Linked DNA regions of Schizosaccharomyces pombe. The gene in region 3 interacts genetically with the main gene of each other region. Each region holds a gene or a part of one and is shown on either strand. Other genes may lie near its edges.

What was found.
Region 1: mutations in sod1 (region 3) and vps38 together harm fitness less than expected from each alone (positive genetic interaction), as found in Schizosaccharomyces pombe (one large-scale study listed by BioGRID).
Region 2: mutations in sod1 (region 3) and pmp20 together harm fitness less than expected from each alone (positive genetic interaction), as found in Schizosaccharomyces pombe (one large-scale study listed by BioGRID).

Annotation. Positions count from the first base shown.
Region 1 is NC_003423.3:1,803,442-1,810,603, reverse strand, and holds vps38 (phophatidylinositol 3-kinase complex subunit Vps38), read right to left. Parts: upstream 4,374-7,162; 5' UTR 4,343-4,373; coding exon 4,106-4,342; intron 3,876-4,105; coding exon 3,705-3,875; intron 3,641-3,704; coding exon 2,624-3,640; 3' UTR 2,287-2,623; downstream 1-2,286. Other genes in the region: arrestin-related substrate adaptor Any1, read left to right, coding at 1,117-2,202. UniProt on the Schizosaccharomyces pombe protein: Involved in endosome-to-Golgi retrograde transport as part of the vps34 PI3-kinase complex II. Mediates the interaction between atg6 and the pik3-ppk19 core complex, leading to the recruitment of atg6 to the membrane.
Region 2 is NC_003421.2:116,067-122,194, reverse strand, and holds pmp20 (thioredoxin-related chaperone Pmp20), read left to right. Parts: upstream 1-3,195; 5' UTR 3,196-3,301; coding exon 3,302-3,772; 3' UTR 3,773-3,973; downstream 3,974-6,128. Other genes in the region: SPOM_SPCC330.07C (transporter), read left to right, coding at 1-1,282; protein new25, read left to right, coding at 4,348-4,617; orotidine 5'-phosphate decarboxylase Ura4, read left to right, coding at 5,620-6,128. UniProt on the Schizosaccharomyces pombe protein: May act as a chaperone rather than a peroxidase. Has no thioredoxin-dependent peroxidase activity. Shows weak chaperone activity.
Region 3 is NC_003424.3:1,001,274-1,007,404, forward strand, and holds sod1 (superoxide dismutase Sod1), read right to left. Parts: upstream 2,328-6,131; 5' UTR 2,191-2,327; coding exon 1,726-2,190; 3' UTR 1,565-1,725; downstream 1-1,564. Other genes in the region: cell septum surface endo-1,3-beta-glucanase Eng1, read left to right, coding at 1-730; gamma-glutamyl phosphate reductase Pro1, read left to right, coding at 5,121-6,131. UniProt on the Schizosaccharomyces pombe protein: Destroys radicals which are normally produced within the cells and which are toxic to biological systems.

The DNA.
Region 1 (7,162 bases), on a different chromosome or scaffold from region 3:
ACAAGCTCGTTTCACTTTATTCCGTTATTAATTGATGTAATCGTCTCATCGCGGCCCTCTTTCATCAAAAAATTCGTCACTTATGGAAACACGGTTCTCTGCATTAATTCGTTTAGCGTAAACCTAATCACCGTTATTCCAGAATAACATTAACGGAAATAACATGCGAAAACAATTACACGAGATTATTTTTTATGACGCAAAATCTTGATACCGTAACTTCTATGCGCCTCATTAAAATAAATTTTGAGCAATCATCCCATCTCTTCATGTTTTTAACATTCACCGTGAACCAAGTATTTTCTAGTGATTCTTGAAATCAAAAGGGCTTTAAGAGATCGATTTCTAGTGAAATCGCTCGTCAGTTTTGTCTTGCTTTTTCTCTAGATTTTGGTGTTCAATCGACTTGGTTTGCGTGGACTGCTGATCTATTGCGAATCTTGCGAATATAAACTGCCCATCGAACCTCTCATTTTCTCTAGCCTTGGGTTTCTTTTCATTTTTTCAGCTCCTCTTAAGAAGGTGTGTGCTCTACTTTAATTGACAGTCTGCTATTTTTTTTTAATTAGCTTGTTCTTACACATTTTTGGGTTGATAATTCACATGAGATTTTGAATTATTAAAACAAAAACATCATCACTAAGGGAGACATAAAGCAAACTCATAAAGTTCCTTTGTTCAGCTTTTTTGTTACCTTACATCCCTGTGTTAAATTCAAGTCGGTTTACTTCTTTCTCATCAATTGGATTACTATTACTTTCTACGGAAGAAGAATAGGTATAAATCATCTTCAAAAAAATTTGGATAATAGGCGAAAGAAAAAAGTCGTTGGTTGTTTGGTTTAACGACTTTTTTTCTTATTTCCATACTTCGTTAATTCTTTCTTCTCTTTAATTTCCTGGTGGGTTTTTCCTTTTCACATTTTTTAAGTTCAATTTAGCAGTGTTCTTCCACTGTAGGGTTTGGTTTTTTTAGGTGTACTTGGCATTTTTACACACATTATTTTATTCCTGGTTTATCATTTCATACTGGTAATTTTTTTTAAAAAATTTTCCATTTCTATTTTTTTTTCCATTCCTTTGTTTTACCGACAAACGCTTAGATTTTCTTATTACTATGCCATTAAAACTTGCACTACCTCGTTCAACCACGCCAAAAGACCCTGCTCGCTGTACGTTAGATATACGTATGGAATCACCGCCGCTGGTATTCCTTGGCTCGCCGGAAACGTCTAGTGGTGCACTTGCGTCTGGCATTTTAAAACTGACGATTTTACATCAACCTTTTATTAAAGTACATACCCTCAAGCTGCAACTCATAAAAAGGATCACCGTTCTTCATCCTGCAATCTCTCATTGTTCTGCTTGTGCGGGTTCAAAAGAGGTTTTACAGACTTGGGATTTAGCTGCAAATACCACATATAGACCTGGTACTCAGCATTGGCCTTTTAGTTGGCTTTTCCCTGGTTCGCTTCCTGCTTCGGTTTCTAACAGATACATCAAGCTTGAGTATTATTTAGAAGCTACGTTATGCTATGGTACTCCTGAAGGCGGAATTTCTCCCTCGAAGCCCGAAGTTCTTAAGTTTCCTCTCCAACTAAAGCGAGCTGCCATTCCTTCGCCTGATACCATCCATAAACGTATCTTTCCCCCTACGAATCTTGTTGCAAACATTACTTTGCCCAGTACCTTGCATCCTCATGGAGCTGCGCTTATGGAAGTTACCATGACTGGTTTTGCCCAAAATGACGGCAACGATTGGAAGATCAATAGAGTTACTTGGAGATTGGAGGAGCATATGCAGTTTAGTTGTCAACCATGTGAACGCCATCGTGATTTGGTAAAACCTCGACCTATTGAAGAAAAAAGAATTTTGAGTACACAAGATTTACAATCGGGATGGAAGTTCATTGATAATCAGATGTTTCTATCTACTCAAATTAACACATCTTCTTTAAGAGAGCCAAGCTGTGACGTGGAAATTCCTGCCCCTTTTTCCTTAAAAGTCTCTCATCATTTAATTTTTGAGACCATTGTTAATAGAAAAAAGAACGTTGCGGGAAACAATATGGGCAATGCCCGTATCTTACGAGTATCAGTCGTTCAGCCACTTACCACGCCAGCTGGTTTAGGTATTAGTTGGGATGAAGAATGCCCGCCAGTTTTTGAAAGTGTAGGACCCGCTCCGCCTGCCTATACCTAGAATATGTGGGTCGGATGTAACCGGAAGAGCTCGATCACCATCACATAACTATCAAAAAATGAACATGGCTCTTTTTATTTTTTAATTCACAAGTTTTATTAATTTAAGGGAACTATTTATAATATCTACATTCATCATTATCTGTTTATTTTTATATTTTAAACGTAAATGCATTGTATAGTAGTTGTCGCAATGACAATGAGTAATATGCCTTCGGCAAATGTCCATAAAAACTCTTCATTAAGATGATTAAAATTAAACCGTGAAATGGGTATATGAATTTCCAACAAAGAATACGAAAACGAAATTGATTGTTGAGAGTAAACTAGGGTGAAAAGATACAATTAAACGATAGACAAGTTATGCGTAGTTTTGCAATTAACGATAATTTAGGCTTATGGTGCCTAAGCTTATGGAATTGTTAAGGAGCGGTAGACGTTACTTGTACAAAAGATAGATGTTGTCCTGATAAAATAAATTGGAGCAGTTTTTTAAAGTTCCTGAGTATGTCCATGGATTGGTCAATAGGTAATCCAAAAGTTTCTAAAAAATCATTTACATCCTGGTTGAGAAGATAAATGGCATGTTCAAAAAGCTCAATTGGTCGAGTTGCTGGATAAAGGGGAAAGATACGCGTGGGGATGTCGGGTGTCAATGTATCCAGGATGGAGGATCTCGAAGATGCGCAAAGAATTGGATAAGCGAGTTCTTTTTCGAGATACTTTGAAAGAGTTTGAAGTAAATGCGCCAAAAATCCTATGGAAGCAGCCATTTCCACATTATTAATTTTATCTGGCTCAAAAGATAGGCGGAGATTGCGAATTGTAAACTCGTCATGATTGCCAGGCGATGGTTGGATTGGGTAAATTTTGGAAAGATGGGAAACGTGCATACGAATAGCATGTGCCATAAGGATTCGAATCTCTATATTGGTCTCTACTTTTGTTTTTAAAGAATTGGCAAGTTCCACATACTCAGCTTCATCTTTTTGAAGGGATTCTTTGGATTTGTTCAAAGTGTTCCTTTTTGAGGATAACCAGCTTTTCGTCTTGTCAAATTTCGTCCTCATCTGAGTGATGCTATTAATTTGTTTTTGCCAAAGATGTTCTAATTTAGCCAGTTCATCGATTTTTTCATCCCGAAGTAACATCCTTTTGTGCATCAAACGTATCTGCTGAAACTCCTCCTCCTGAAAATGAGCTCGAATTTCATGTTTAGCAATGTGCATTTCATCTATGCATTCAGCCAGTTTCAAAATTCGAGTGATTTTCTGAATAGTGTAACCATCCTTCCGCCTGTCTATAGAATATGTGGAGGCACTTTTTGGAAAGGAGGTCTGTCTCATAATATCCGAAGACTGGGATGTTGTGTAGATGTAAACGCCATCATTAAATTCACATAAAAGACCGTTTCGAATATGACAAACTGCAAAAACAGGCTACAAATAATATGTTAGTCAACACAAGGGAAACATAAGGTAAACCAAAAATATTCAACCGTACATCATTACCAATATAACGAAAATTACTGTCATATCTCAAAATTTTCCATTCTTTATGTAGCTTGAAGGCATGACTACTTGATGAGCACCAAGTCCTCACGATAAAGTACTCTTCGTGACGGTATTTTTGAAGCTTTTCGGTTACTTTTTCATCGACGTAAAAGATGTGATTCTAATGAGAGGTTAGACACAAAGAACATAAATACATACAAAATTTGTATATGGGTAAAAGAGATACAAGGTATAAACTATCAATTGAGGGCTTTGTTTCAAGGATTTGAGCAACGAAATTTTGGCAAATCACTTGTATAAACAAACTGATTAACCTTTTCAATCAAGCAAATAACCTAGATATAATGATACCATTCAGATACTTTTGTTTATCAAAGCATGTTCACATACAGCATTTCCGCTCGTTTCAGTAATATAAACAGGCAATTTCTTACTCTGCACATGCAATGATATAAAAATACGAATAGTTCCTTCGGAAATTGCACGTTTTAACTGCACATCTCGTTTCCACAAATTTTCCGTCGTATTGATCGCAAATTTGCTATGATTTTGAATTTCTTGAACATTTCTTATTTGTATTGATTTAAGCCTGGAAAGTCGGTAGTTTCCTGGTAATTCAAGCGACATTCTATCATGGTTAAAGCAATGAATGCTTTTGCTTCATCGCATCGCCCTACTTGGTAAACTCAGCTGAGTCTGGTGCTAGCGTAGGATAACAATATACTGGTTTAGTTCGTTATTGTCAGCAATACTACACTACGCAATGATACTCCACGTTGCATATCACTATATGTCACATGTTCACAATGTTCTATTTGCTCTATCAACTATTACATGATAAGTCATCAAGATGGAGATATAATATCATTCATGATAAGATAACTATCAGATATAATTCTTACTACTTCAAATATTATAAATTGAGAACAACTGAACCTCGTCCCTCAGTTCAGTTATAAGATATATTAGTGATAGGTAACATTATAACCTAGTTAATACAATACCTATACTCAGTTGCTACTCATACAACCTGTGTATTGTAATATAATAGATCACAAGGAAAACTCACCGCAGTTCTATGTATCCTTAAATCAGATACCAAACTGCGAAGCTAACATTATATGCACTTTATTGTCAGCAGCAAGACTTCACTAAGCCCTTTTGCGTGTCATTATATGCTACCATTAATTAATTGGATTATAATACTATACATAATATAATCGTTAAATGTATTTATATTAAATTATATTTAGATAATTCTGAAACTTTGCCGTAATATATCTTATTCTTAAAGCTGGCCACTGATCCTTTAGCTCAGAACTCATTCTTTAAGGAAATTTAGTGTCTTCCGTAATGGTTGAATGAATTTAAAAAGGTTCAATAAAATAATATAGCAGAAATTAACTGTAAAGAAATTTTTTAATTGATAACTGATGTGAGTTTGAATCAATGGCGAAAATTTTTTTTTTTAATTGCTTTATTACTGTCTTCGAAAATTGATGTACTATGGCCCAGATCATTATGAGCAAGAAGGTCTGAGCCAAAAAAAAAAAAAAAAAAAAAAAAAAAAAAAGAGTAAATCAAACATTATTACCAACAAAAAAGCACGCTTTCAGTTTTTACTATTCATTTGTCCGCTGAAGAAGCACAAAAAAAAATTTGATACTTTGTTTTTGAAAACAATTTAACCATATTTACAGTCAGCAAGAAATAAAACGCAGAAGAAGTAAGTGAAATAAAAAATAATTTAGAGCAATATTATAAGCAACCGAACAGAATTGCTATGATCAAAATGGTATTTAAGAAATTTAAACAAATTCAATAGTAAACGCTGTTACATGTTGCTAAAAACATTATCGGCCAAACCAGTAGAACTTCCAGAGTGAGCTTATTTTCCTTATTATAGGTTGGACTTGCTAATGTTGTTTAAATAATTTAACTATAGATATATTCTGTAAACAATCGAAGTGTCATCAAGCCCGTCCTGAAGAAACCCGATAAAAGATCTAAAAACACAAATTAATTTACAGTCACAATAAACAAATTAAATATTTTTTAGTATGCGGCGATAATTTTCGTTAAGAAAGGAACCAGTAACAGTGGGTATTGCATATGTGCATACAATTGGAATGTGGAGATGAAATGTAAATAAAATCTGCAAACATGATAAAATGAAACTTCAAGTTATTTTATAATTTAAATCCACTTTGATTTGACTTCCGTCTGATATGTCAAACGAGGCAGAATGAACATTTGCTTTACGAGTTAGGATGAAATCCTTGTTCACGCTCTTTCGCTTCAATGTTTTCAATTCATGCAATATTGTATAATACTCTCCATTTCTTTAATTTAAAAACTGAGAAAATTTTATTGTCCAGTTAGAAGGTCTATTTACAAATGAGTGATGTGTAAACATAGAAAATGAAAGTGTAATCGATTTGGAAAGAGGTCTCTCTCTAAATGTAGCACAGATAATGGATGAACAACACCCACCTAATCGGGTAAGGATTTTAGTTAATAAGAAAAAATTGTATTATTAAAAAAGGATGTTTTGCTTTTCCATGTACGGTATGCTCACCACTAATGTGTTGATGAGTACTGTTTATAGCTGGTCGATTCGCTCAAAATATGTAAAGCATGGCACATCTTTATTTTCCTCATATATTTACGTTGGAATTCATAATTTAAGATTTTTTAGGTTCTCCAAACCGTAATGATACCTATTGAGTTGAAATAAATATCGGCAATGAGTACGTGCAGACTTAAAACTCAGAGCTTCCGTGGAGAACAGGATAATTAATTCTTTAAATCTGAAACAAGAAAATGGTGATGTTGAACAGCGGCACATATTAATTTCTATAAAAATAAACATAATGATTTTTGAATTACAAAGTATTGAATGGTAGTTACAACTGATACCTAAAAAGATATAGTAAACCTACCAAAATCTATTGAGCTCGACCAACAAATAGGAAATAGTATAAAATACAGTTCAACAGAACTAACTCGCTCCAAACCTGTTGTGGAGTTCTACAGTCTCGTTGTAAATTGCCAATAAGGTATGATTTAATGAATTATACAATTGTTTAAATGTACAGTTTGATATCTGCTTCAATTATAAGTAGGATTGCGGTGAGCTCTAATGATGATCTGTTGTATTACTAGATGTATGAATACATAGTAACCTGAGTTATTGATGTCGGTATTGTTTGTAACCTAACGCTGATATAGCTCATGGCTGAACCTCGCTCCTCAATTCAATTTTCAAGTTATAGTATTCAAAATCAGTATTATTGTTACTGGTAAATATCTTATTATAATTGGTAATTTAATATCTTGGATAAACTATTCATGCAAAACTAGTAGAGTAAATAAAACATGTAACATAATAGTAACTCGCGATGCAAAAACATTATAGCGGTCTTTAGTGTAGCCCACTGTCTAATA
Region 2 (6,128 bases), on a different chromosome or scaffold from region 3:
TCCTGTAGACGAAAATGCCAACAAACTGCCCCCAAAGGTATCCATTGCGTTCATATTGATTAACAGCTTAATGTCCGATATGTCCTTGGCTGTGGCCTTACCCACGTCGGCCTCTTACACTCAAAGCCTTGGTGGTACAAATGCATTTTCAGGTTTGGTAATTGGGATTCCCACTTTAATTTCGTTAATATTTCTTTATCCCATGCTTTGCTTTGCAAACCCAAAGTCGGCTAACGGTTATACTCTGTACTTCCGACCAATGGTAGTATCTTCGTTTGCTCACATTTTTGGCCATTTACTTTATTGCATGGCATATCGTGCCAATTGGATCTATCTAATTCTAATCGGGCGAATGCTGAACGGTATTGGGTTCACTACCTTCTTATATCACAAAAAATATACAACAGATAAGTTGCTCGTCGGACAAAATCGTCGAACATTCTTGGCAACAATGAACATCTTAGCGCAGACCTTAGGATTCATGGCAGGTCCCTTCCTTGGAGGTATATTAGCAAAAGCGACAATTCATTCAAAGAACGCTGTTTGGAATCAGTACACAGTGGCATCATGGGTCATGTTGTTTATGTGGTTTTTTTATATGCTAACTATCATATTCTTCTTCAAAGAGGTAACGGCTGACAAAAGCGAAAAAGTTTCACAACAAAAAGAAAATGATGATGAGGACAGGCCAAAGTTGAGTTGGAAACATAAATTTTTGCTTTTCTTTTTAGCGGAAGTGGCATTTATAGCATACTTTACCGTGAACGGCTACCAAGCTAGTATTTCCATTTACACAGGAAAACTTTATAATTACGATGCTTTTCAATCAGGAAATTTTATAGCATTATCCGCATTAATCGTGGCACCTTTTATTCTAGCGAGTTCATTTTTGTCTCGATGGCTCGAAGACCGACACATCATGTTGGGAGGCCTATTCTTGGGAATTTTGGCAGTAGCCATTCATCTAGTATTAGATGCAGTTCACAAGCTACCCATGCAAGTTTATTTTTTCTTGTATTCGTTGATGATTTATGGCTATAGCATTGGATCTGCGCCTCTAATTTCCCTTTCGTCCAAACAGTTGCATCCAAGGCATCATAATACCGCCAGCATAGTCGTACAAGTAGGAGTGTCTTTGTCCAATACTTTTGGCTCCATTTGTGGTGGTGCGATTTATAATATAACCACAGTTGGTTTCATTTCGCTTTGCCTAGGATTAGCAGCAGTTGTATACATGCAATTAATCTTTATGTGGGGATCCTTGAAATGCAAAACACATTAAGCAAAGATCCTAGCCATGATTATAAATGCTGGTGAGCGATCGACAATTTTTATTTAGAAAAGCTAATTTTTTTTTTTTTTGGAAATCGGCTTAATAACCTATGAAACCTTGAAACTTTAATGAATACCAAGAAGCTATTTTTGATTTTTAATTCTCCCTATTTGTTTGTTATTTGGTATTGAACAAATATTCAAATGAGATTCCATCGGAATGTATTTGACATATGATTTTTATCCATTTAATGTTGGGCTTTCCAATCCCATAGGACTAATATCTAGAAAAATACAATTTAAAAAATCTATGTAAAACAAATTTATGCAAAAAAATTGAAATATTAAAAAAACCAGTCTTTTTATGCTTAATATGATTCAATGAGTTTAATCTTTAAAAAATCTAAATTAATAAAAAATTCATTTTCATATTTCACTACAATTCTTATCGTATGTATTTTTTTACTAGGTAATAGTTTATATTATTATCATTATTATTATTATTTTTTTTTTATTAATGATTAAACGTACAAAACCTTTGAATTTTCCGTTAATCGTTCTTTGGAAAAAGAAAATGAGATTCTAAACATCTAACTCCGTTACTTGCATCATGAGAAAGGGAGAAGAACAAAATGTTAGCTACAATGAAAAAGGATTACTTTCGAAAATTCACTATTCCACATCCGTTTTCCCAAATCCATCCTTTGCTACTGATATACTTCATTATTATTGCACTGATGTATTTGTATATAATAACTCTTAGGAAACCCAAATTCATCCTACCTTCTAGTTCGGTAAATCGTATAAACATAGACACTTAGCTTACCATTAATGTCTTTTGTGATGTAATAGTCCTTGTTAAAACTTATAGCGATGCAGTACGTACGATATTTTGCATCTTTACTGTACCTTAAATAATTGCTGAATAGACACGTGGAATGTGTTTGTATACGTACTTATCAATTACCAGTCAGATGGTAGAAGCGGTAAAATCGTGATATTTGAGTATTAGCTATAAAATAAATTTTTCACAACGTTTCAATATATTTTAATACTCTTTTTAAAATTTTTTAGAGAGATTTTGACGAGCAATTGATGCGTGAGACGCGTTTGTCAATTTTTCCACCTTTCTCGCTCTATTCATAGCACTGGCTAATTGTGTCGCAATACCACGGAAAATTGATTTGACGAACACAAGTGTGGTCTTTGTGTTAACATTTCTAATTCGTAAATGAATTCGAGGACTCAAAAATTTGCGGTTCGTTATACCACGTCGGGGTTTGCGCCATTTATCTGTTCATAGATACCGCAAAGCAAATCGTGAGCAATAAATTTTGAAAAGGTATCTACAGTTCCGAGAGGTGCAGGAAGTGATGAATCGAATTTGATGAAAATTTCTCACCTATTTTAGAGGGGAAACTACAGTGACTTTCTTGAAAGCAATTAAACAACCTTGAAAATGAATCAAACTTTTTTCTTAACGTTACTGCTGATATTGATGTGAAAATTAAACAAGAAAAACATCATCACTTCGTTAAAACCTTAAAAATTCAAAATTTCAAAGGAATAATTAACACCCGGGCATGCATACTACCCGATAACGTAATCTTCTCTATTGCCATTTTCTTTTTCTTTTTAATAAAAATGGCTGTCTAGTAAACACTTTGTCTCAGCGTTTCTTGCCTTTTTACAACAGTCAAATACCGAATATCGCACGAACCATTGAAAACGCAGCTGTGCGCGGTCTCAGTGCCGGTTGGGATTTTCCACCACTCGCAGCCCACAAAGCTCTTCATACAAAGATGAAGAACAGTAAAGAAAAAAAATCTTCCATCCCGACAAATTTGGTGATTTGACGTCACCAAAAGATTCGTTTTTGTAGAAAGGTATATATATTAACGACATGTGCCCATTTGTCTTGATAATACTATCTTTAAACTTGAACGACATTTTTTGAATACGCCGTTACTCCTAAAGATTTTATACCACTTGCTTTAACTTTTACACAAATTTATTACTACTATTAAAAATGGTTGCTGTCGGATCTACTTTGCCTAAAGTTACTCTTTGGGAAAACAAGCCCGAAGAGGTTGTTGAATTCCCTTCTCAAGGCAAATTCATCATTGTCGGTGTTCCCGGCGCTTTCACTCCTCCTTGTTCTTCTCAAGTTCCTGGCTATATTGCAAATGAGAAGCAATTTGCTGCCAAGGGCATCAGCGGAATCTATGTCGTTGCCGTAAATGACGTTTTCGTCACCAAGGCTTGGAAGAAGTCTTTCGACGGTGGTGAGCAAAGTGGTGTTCACTTTGTCGCCGACTGGAACGGAGAGTTTACCAAGGCCTTTGATGCTGGCTTCGACGCTAGCGGTCTTTTGGGCCCTCTTCGCTCCAAGCGTTATGCCGCTGTTGTCGAGAATGGCAAGGTTGTCAAGGTTTTCATTGAGAACGAGGTCACCGATGTTGATATTTCCTCCGCTGACAAGGTCCTTAGCTCTCTTTAAATCTGATGAACTGTTGTACTAATTGTTTTGATGGGAATGTTTTTTTCCTTTAATGAACGAAACTTAGAATCAAAAAGATAAGCTCCTTATTTAAGGGCGTTTGAAATGATGGAGATAAAGCACTCCATATTTGAGTTTTTTTTGTCATTGTGATGATATATGTTTAGATTTATGAAATTTTATACACAATTATCTTAACAACTCATTGTTTGAGTACTAGTACAATTCTTTATAAGAAAGTAGATATGCTTAAAAAATTAATGTCAAGTAAAACGTTGAATCGATTACAATAAGTTTTCGTAACACGATTGAAAATCGGTAGAAGTTGAAATGGATATTCTAAGTGGTGGTATCAAAATAATGACTAGAAAGATGTAAGCACACCTTCAATGTATCATAATCAATGTCAGATGAATTTGGGTAATGAAAAACGTTGGCCACAGTTGGGGGCGTCTTCCTCTAGATGCTCGTCTTCTACAACCGTTCTTTACCTCAACCTTTAAATTTTCAAAATCTCCTTTTTAATAACAGTTTTCATTTTTGGGTTCTTTTTACTCATTTGTATTTCATCTTCGATGAAAATAGCTAATGTCTTAACTTTATCGTTTGCTGCAATTATTGCTGCTTCTTCCCTGGCGGTTGTAGTTAGTCCTATCACAGACAATTCCAGGGAGACAGCTTCATCCTCCATTTCTCAAAGTCCTCCTAGTCAATGGTCAAAAAAACAGTTAATTGAGTATTGTAAAAAAAATTCACTTAAAACTAGCGGATCTCATGAAGAATTGGTTATCCGTGTGCAAAATCATCTTCGTACCGCCTCTAAAAAAGTTGATGCCAGACCGTAATGACAAAACAGCTTGTATAGATTTTAATATGTTTTCGATGCTTACATAATGAGTGAGTGTCATTATTGAGGAATGCCATGTCAGATTTGACACAACTCAGAACTTATTAACTTTTTATGATTGGAACTTTTGTTTTGCCCAAGGAATTTTTAATGGAAGAAGTTGTTTTATAAATGATATTGAATTTATATCCACTCTTTTTAGCGCATTTGCATCTCTACTTTAGGTTCTTCTTTGACTAGATTCTAGGATGCGTATTGGATATACTGGTCTTTGAATCATTGTCGAAAAAAAAATTCATGGTTGTACCCATGAGCAAACTGCTTTTGTGGTTATCCATGTGCTTCTTTTGTTCAGCATCTATCTTCTTAATCGCATGGAAGATTTGATTTAAACCAAAAGAAATATTGTTAAACTTTGACAGAAGCTTTAAATTTTGATTCCATACATTAAATGGATAAAACTCCTGAAGCTTAGCTACAAATCCCACTGGCTATATGTATGCATTTGTGTTAAAAAAGTTTGTATAGATTATTTAATCTACTCAGCATTCTTTCTCTAAATAGGAATTTGTTACTTAATGGAGAAAAAAATGTTTCGATTTACCTAGTGTATTTGTTTGTATACTCACGTTTAATTTCAAACATCCATTCTATCTTGTGTAATTTTTGGCATGGTGAAAAAGATAATCAGCCTTATAATCTTTACAAAAGTAAGAAATTCTGTAAATAAGCCTTAATGCCCTTGCTTTAAATTAAAATGGTTCTTTTTCATGATAATGTTTGCACTTTGTGAATATATTTTAGATAGTTCTGTGAGGTATAATTAAGATGTTTTAGAGACTTATACAATTTTGTCTTTATAAATTCTTAATTGATTTTACCATCCCAGTTTAACTATGCTTCGTCGGCATCTCTGCACATGTCGTGTTTTCTTACCGTATTGTCCTACCAAGAACCTCTTTTTTGCTTGGATCGAAATTAAAGGTTTAAAAGCAAAGTTATGGATGCTAGAGTATTTCAAAGCTATTCAGCTAGAGCTGAGGGGATGAAAAATCCCATTGCCAAGGAATTGTTGGCTTTGATGGAAGAAAAGCAAAGCAACTTGTCAGTCGCGGTCGATTTGACGAAGAAATCCGAAATCTTAGAATTGGTAGATAAAATTGGACCCTATGTCTGTGTTATCAAGACACATATTGACGTTGTCGAGGATTTCGACCAGGATATGGTAGAAAAACTGGTGGCCTTAGGTAAAAAGCATCGTTTTCTTATCTTTGAGGATCGCAAATTCGCAGACATTGGAAATACCGTCAAGCTACAATATGCATCTGGTGTGTACAAAATTGCTTCTTGGGCTCATATCACAAATTGCCATACAGTGCCAGGCGAGGGTATTATACAAGGCCTCAAAGAAGTTGGTTTACCTTTGGGACGTGGTCTCTTGCTTTTGGCTGAAATGTCTTCCAAAGGCTCTTTGGCTACTGGTTCCTACACAGAGAAAACCTTAGAATG
Region 3 (6,131 bases):
ACTACCTATATCCTATACTTCGACTCCTACTACTACAAGCATCTCTGGTACTTGTAATGGTGCTACGTTTGATGCAAGTTTGTATGTATGCGACGGAACTGTACTCTGCCCTATTGTTAATGGTGTATCATATCAAAACTGCAACGGAGCTTGCTATAACCCTTCGCAATATGGCTGCGACAATGGAGCTTTGGGCCCTGTTCAATCTTCATCGACCACTTCCTCCATTACGCCTACTCCCACAACTACTTCCTCAATAACACCCACACCTACTACAACTTCAACAACTACTACCGCACAGTCAACTGGCATGCAACTATGTGGCTCTAACTACTACGACGCATCCTCTTATTATTGTGACAATGATCAGTTATGTCCTATAATAGACGGAGTGGATTACTTGAGTTGTAATGGTGCATGCTATAATCCTTCCCAATATGTTTGTTCTGATGGTTCTTTGTCTCCAAACACTGTTACAACAACAAAAGCTACTACAACTTTCACACCTACACCTACCACAACTACTACACCTACACCTACTACTACATCTGCTACATCCACTAATGTGATAGCCCAATGTGGATCAGCTTGGTATGATTCACAAAGTTATATTTGTTATGGCAATATACTGTGTCCCATTATAAATGGGTCTCCATTGTTAGCTTGTGGTAATGCGTGCTATGACTCCTCTATATACGGTTGCTCCAATGGTGCACTTGTTGCTGCTTAAGCATGACCAAAGTCCGGAATTGTATTGCGAGGTGCTTTTTTGGATTTCTTCAGATGTACTATACTTATTGCTTGTATGTTTTCAAACTATTTAAAAAACTACATTTTGTTCATAATACACGTCTGGAACGTGAACTACTCTCAACTTGAAACCCTTTTTGGATATCGTCTAGGCCGGCTTAGAGATCAATTTATTAAAATTATTCTTGCTGAGTTTTTCTTTTTTGCATCTTTTTGAATTAGTTGGTTATTATTTAACCACTTATTTTATTAATTGTTCACACTGGATGTGAACCTTTAGACTTATAGAATAAAATTTATTTTAAAATACAACTTGTGCAGATGTTTTCAGTTTACACAAACTTGCCTGTCGTTATTGTTTAGTTGAAATTAGTTCGTAAAAATTCATTGATACGTAAAAGTAATAACAAAATCAACAAAGATGAAACGATGGTATTATGATTAATAAAAAAAAAGGCTTCACCCATTAGAATTTTAACAAGATGTGTTGATATTGCTACTATGTGTGTATCTATTAATCAACATTCTATATATCTTTTTTTAAACAATACGAAAAGCACTTTCTATCATCTTTATGCACGAACTCAACGATGCAAAACAAAGTTTTCTGACTAAAAGATCAAAAATTGTTGCTGCTTTTGCTTCTTCATTATCAATACCGAAACAAAGTTACAACAATTCCTTCTAATTAACTGAATTTTATGTAAACTCGAACGCAGAGTCTTAAGGACAAAAATACATCACTACATTTTTTTACACATATAACATAATAGTAACAAACAGCTTCCACAAAGCTACAGTACTTATCATCATCAATTAAATTAAGTTTTTTAATACAGAACCTATAGAAGCATAATATACGGAACTTTTCATAAAAAAAAAGAAATTTGAGATCACTCAACTAAATGATAACAATACTAACCAACACCTAAACCCACAGCCATTTGAACAAAAAGACGTAAAAACTCAATAAATTTAGACGGCAATACCAATGACACCACAAGCGTTACGTGCACCAGCGTTACCAGTCTTCAAAGACTCTTCACTAGTACCCTTACCAAGATCATCCTCACCGGCATGAATGACAATGGTACGGCCAATGATGCTGTTGGCACCAAACAATGAGATAACAGAATCAGAGAAAGTAGTCTTGATGTTGCCCTGAGCATCGCTTTCCAAGTTACCAAGATCACCAACGTGACGAACAGCGGCGGTACGGTCACCGTGAGTCTTACCCTCTGGGTTAAAGTGAGGACCAGCAGAGGTACAACCGTTGGTATTATCACCGAATTGGTGAATATGGAAACCACGCTTGGCATTAGCGTCATTGCCAACGAGATCCACAATCACAGAAACTTGAGAGTTTTGATCGACTTGTTCAAAAGTAACGACACCACTGACCTTAGAGTCACCACGAAGAACTGCTACAGCTCTAACCATTTTGTATGACGATAATTTACTTTAAAAAAATACAACAAGAGAAGGGGTGTTTTGAGTAATTAAGTGTTTTGAAGGAAAATCAATAAGATTTTAACCACACTTCAAAGTTGGAGATTTCGAAAATTTTGTTTGGAATTGGAAGAGGATAGGGCGGCGTGTCATCGCTTATATAGTAAATAGCTCCACGCGGAATATACATGAAATTTTAACGATATCAACTCAAATCAATTTTTCGATATGACCAATGTTTTTTTATATTCTAAAAACGAAGAAATTGTCTTTATACTTATCGATTTAACAAATTTGCTTTACAAAGCATTGTCTAGTCCGTGCCTTCGAGCCTCCAAAATAGGCCAATAAGCTACGCCGAGCATCACCTCAGCTTGGCGTTGGCTTACTCCACCAGTATTCGTAATCATATTACGTGCTCCTTCGCGGAATTGAAATTCCGCTAAAGATGATAACGCGCCACTCGAAGAATAAATAACGATATCTAAAGTTGCGGTAATAGCAATCGTCGTTCTCGTTTTCGTAGACGTTAAAACATTTAGCGTAAGGTAAGAATGACCACGTTGAAGTAAGGTCGCTAATGGGGGTAAAGATCTTCAAAGAAAGGGAAACTTGAGTAGACAAACATTGCATAGAGATTCAAATGCATAGACTAGCTAAAATATCAAACCCCCATTTGGTTCAGTAAATCCCACTAGAGTTCGCAGAATAAAAGTCCTACATGTATATAGATTAGCGTTTTGAGTCTAGGTGTGAAGAGCCTAAGGCCGGTCGGTAGACTTGCAAAGCCCGTTCGTTCACGGAAGTTGTTAGGAGCAATCGCTTGTAACAGTCAAATTGTTATGAAGCTTCAATCGACGTGAGGAGGATAATAAAATTCGCTCTAGAAAGAAATATTCGTGAACTCATAATTTTCCCATAATGAACAAACCTCTCAGTATGCATTTTTGAGAAAGAATCGCAAGTACAACTGCTGATAATATCATTGAGCTTTTAAAAAATAAAATAACATAACCATAGTAATGCTTTGTACTAGGAAGCGAGTGACACTATGGTTATTTTGGAGTTAAAAAAAATCCTGATGATCTGTTTTGCAAATACGTTAATCGCTTCTATCCATCGATCTACCTACATATTATTTTGGTAGAAAACAGAAAAAGTTCTCTGAGGGGGACGCTGTTTATATAAGAAATTTGCCAAGATGTATAAAGTATTATGCCGAAAACAGTAATTACCTTGAGCTACTTATTTTATATGACTTATTTTTGCTATTCGTGAAGTAGCAATATGAGACTATTTTGCTAGTGCGCGAAAGAAATGGCTCATTACAAAAAATAGCGTTTCGCATAATACTAAAGGCGGTATATTCCTAAATACAATTCTCTTAATCATTCTACCGTAATTGGGTACATTACGATATGTCAGCAATACTACACTACGCTATGATACACTACGTTGCGTATCACTATATGTCATATGTTGGAATACTAGCTAAGATCCGTTTATTGATAATCACGGGTAACTATCCGTCTATATACATAGATACCCGTTGATAACAACTATTTAGAAATATTATAAATAGCGTTACAACTGAACCTCGTTCCTCAGTTCAGTTATGAGCTATATTAGTGATAGGTAACATTATAGCCCAGTTAATACAATACCTATACTCAGTTGCTACTTATACAACCTGTGTATTGTAATATAATAGACCACAAGGAAAACTCACCGCAGTTCTTCGTATCCTTAAATCAGATACCAAACTGCGTAGCTTACACGATACACTTAATAACGCATATCCTCAAAATACTTTAACTCTTGGCAATGGGATTGATGAGTAGAATGTGTGCGATTTATGCTCATGATTTGTACAACTTGACTTTGGAGAGGTAGTCAAGAATTTTCTGTTAGTGTATGGAAAAACCTTGATGTGATTCACTGCTGTACAATCAAGCATAGCTACAGAGCCTTAAATATGTTGTTATTGAAAGTAAACAAATGAAATACTATACACCCAGATTAATAATTTATCGATTTTTTTTGAAGCAAAGTATTTCTTTCTGATTCTATAAATTGTCGACTTGGGGGACAATTGTGAAACTGTAAGGCAAGATGAACTTTGCAAATATGGAATTAAATTCAAAGTAATTGCGTTCAAATTAAAAAAAAAGTACTATATTAATGAACAGTTTGATCAGCCATTGTAAACAATTCAATTACAACCGTTAGCGATACTCTATATTGAAGGATGTTTTCCCGAAAAGATGAACAAACAATTTTGTTTGTTGAGCTGTGCATTTCAACTAGAAGCATCTTTAATTTGAATTAAAAACAACTAGATCAAATTGATTCAGTAATAACTGGACACCATGCTAATAAATGTTTTTGCTTTTACGATATGACTATAATTTATTCATGAGAAATACGAAGTGTGTAATAATCCAAATTCTCTATGGAATATACAAAGCACACTTTAAAATTAGTATCTTTGTATTTCTTAACCGAAGATACCCAGTTGCTCATTTTTTAGTCTTTTGTTTACAAGCATAATTCTTGCACTACGTGAAAAGTGAAAAGTAAGGCTACTATATATAGTAACGGAAAAACAAAAACTGAAAATATAACACTAACTGTTCTTGAGGTTGCAAAATATTTTTAGTTAACTGCAGAAGTACTCTCACTTTCCATGATTTCGTATCTTTCAGAAATCTTAGTTATGCTTAATGTAAAGTAACAATGCTTGATTTTGTTACTTGAAGGGTGTTAAATAAATCACGAACTTGCATTATTCATACATTAGAAAAAACAACCAAAATACTACAAAAAGTAGTCTTTTTGAGCTAGCCATTCTAAGAATAAGAATTCGCTTGATTTAAATCTCCCAATTGCCTCTACTCAAAGTTGTATAAGTATTGTTTAGCATGTCTCTTGAAGAGAATGTAAAGGAAGCGAAAAACGCTTTTAACATTTTACAGACATTATCAGTGGAAGACCGTGATGATGCATTGGATAAAATAGTTGAAGAACTGCGCATAAAAAAGTCAGAGGTTCTAGCTGCAAATGCTGAAGATATGAAAGCAGCTAAGCTCTTGGCTGAATCAGGAAAACTAAGTTCATCGATGGTTAAAAGATTGGATCTGTCTTCATCTGATAAATACGATTCCATGGTACAGGGTGTTTTAGATGTTAAAAGTTTGCCTGATCCCCTTGGTCGTGTTACTTATGCTCGTAGTCTTGACGATGGTTTGGACCTTTATAAAGTCTCTTGCCCTGTAGGTTTATTGCTAGTCATTTTTGAAGCTAGACCTGAAGTAATCATTAATATTACTTCCCTGGCTATCAAATCTGGTAATGCTGTTGTACTTAAAGGAGGCACGGAATCAGCAAAGTCTTTCGCTGCACTTTCTAATGTTGTTCGCTCTGCCTTGGGCAAAAGTAAGGTTCCACAGGCTGCTGTGCAGCTTGTTCAGAGTCGCGAGGAGGTATCACAATTATTAAAATTGGATGAGTACATAGATTTGGTTATTCCCCGCGGCAGCACTAATCTTGTACGCCATATAAAAGATAACACAAAAATTCCTGTTTTAGGTCATGCTGCAGGACTATGCTCCATGTACGTCCATGAGGATGCTGATATGGAATTGGCTAGTAAACTTGTTCTGGATGGAAAAACTGATTATCCAGCAGCATGTAATGCAATTGAAACTTTGTTAATTAACGAAGCTGTTTTATCTTCTCATCTTCCTAAAATTGCTGAAACTTTAACTGAAGCAAAAGTTACATTAAAATGTGATCCCGCTTCTCTTAAGGTTTTAAAGGATATGCCAAAAGTTAGTGCTCTAGTTGAACCATCTGTCGATCAAGATTACAACACTGAATTCTCTGATTTGATTCTTGCTATTAAGACTGTACCTTCCTTACAGTCCGCAATG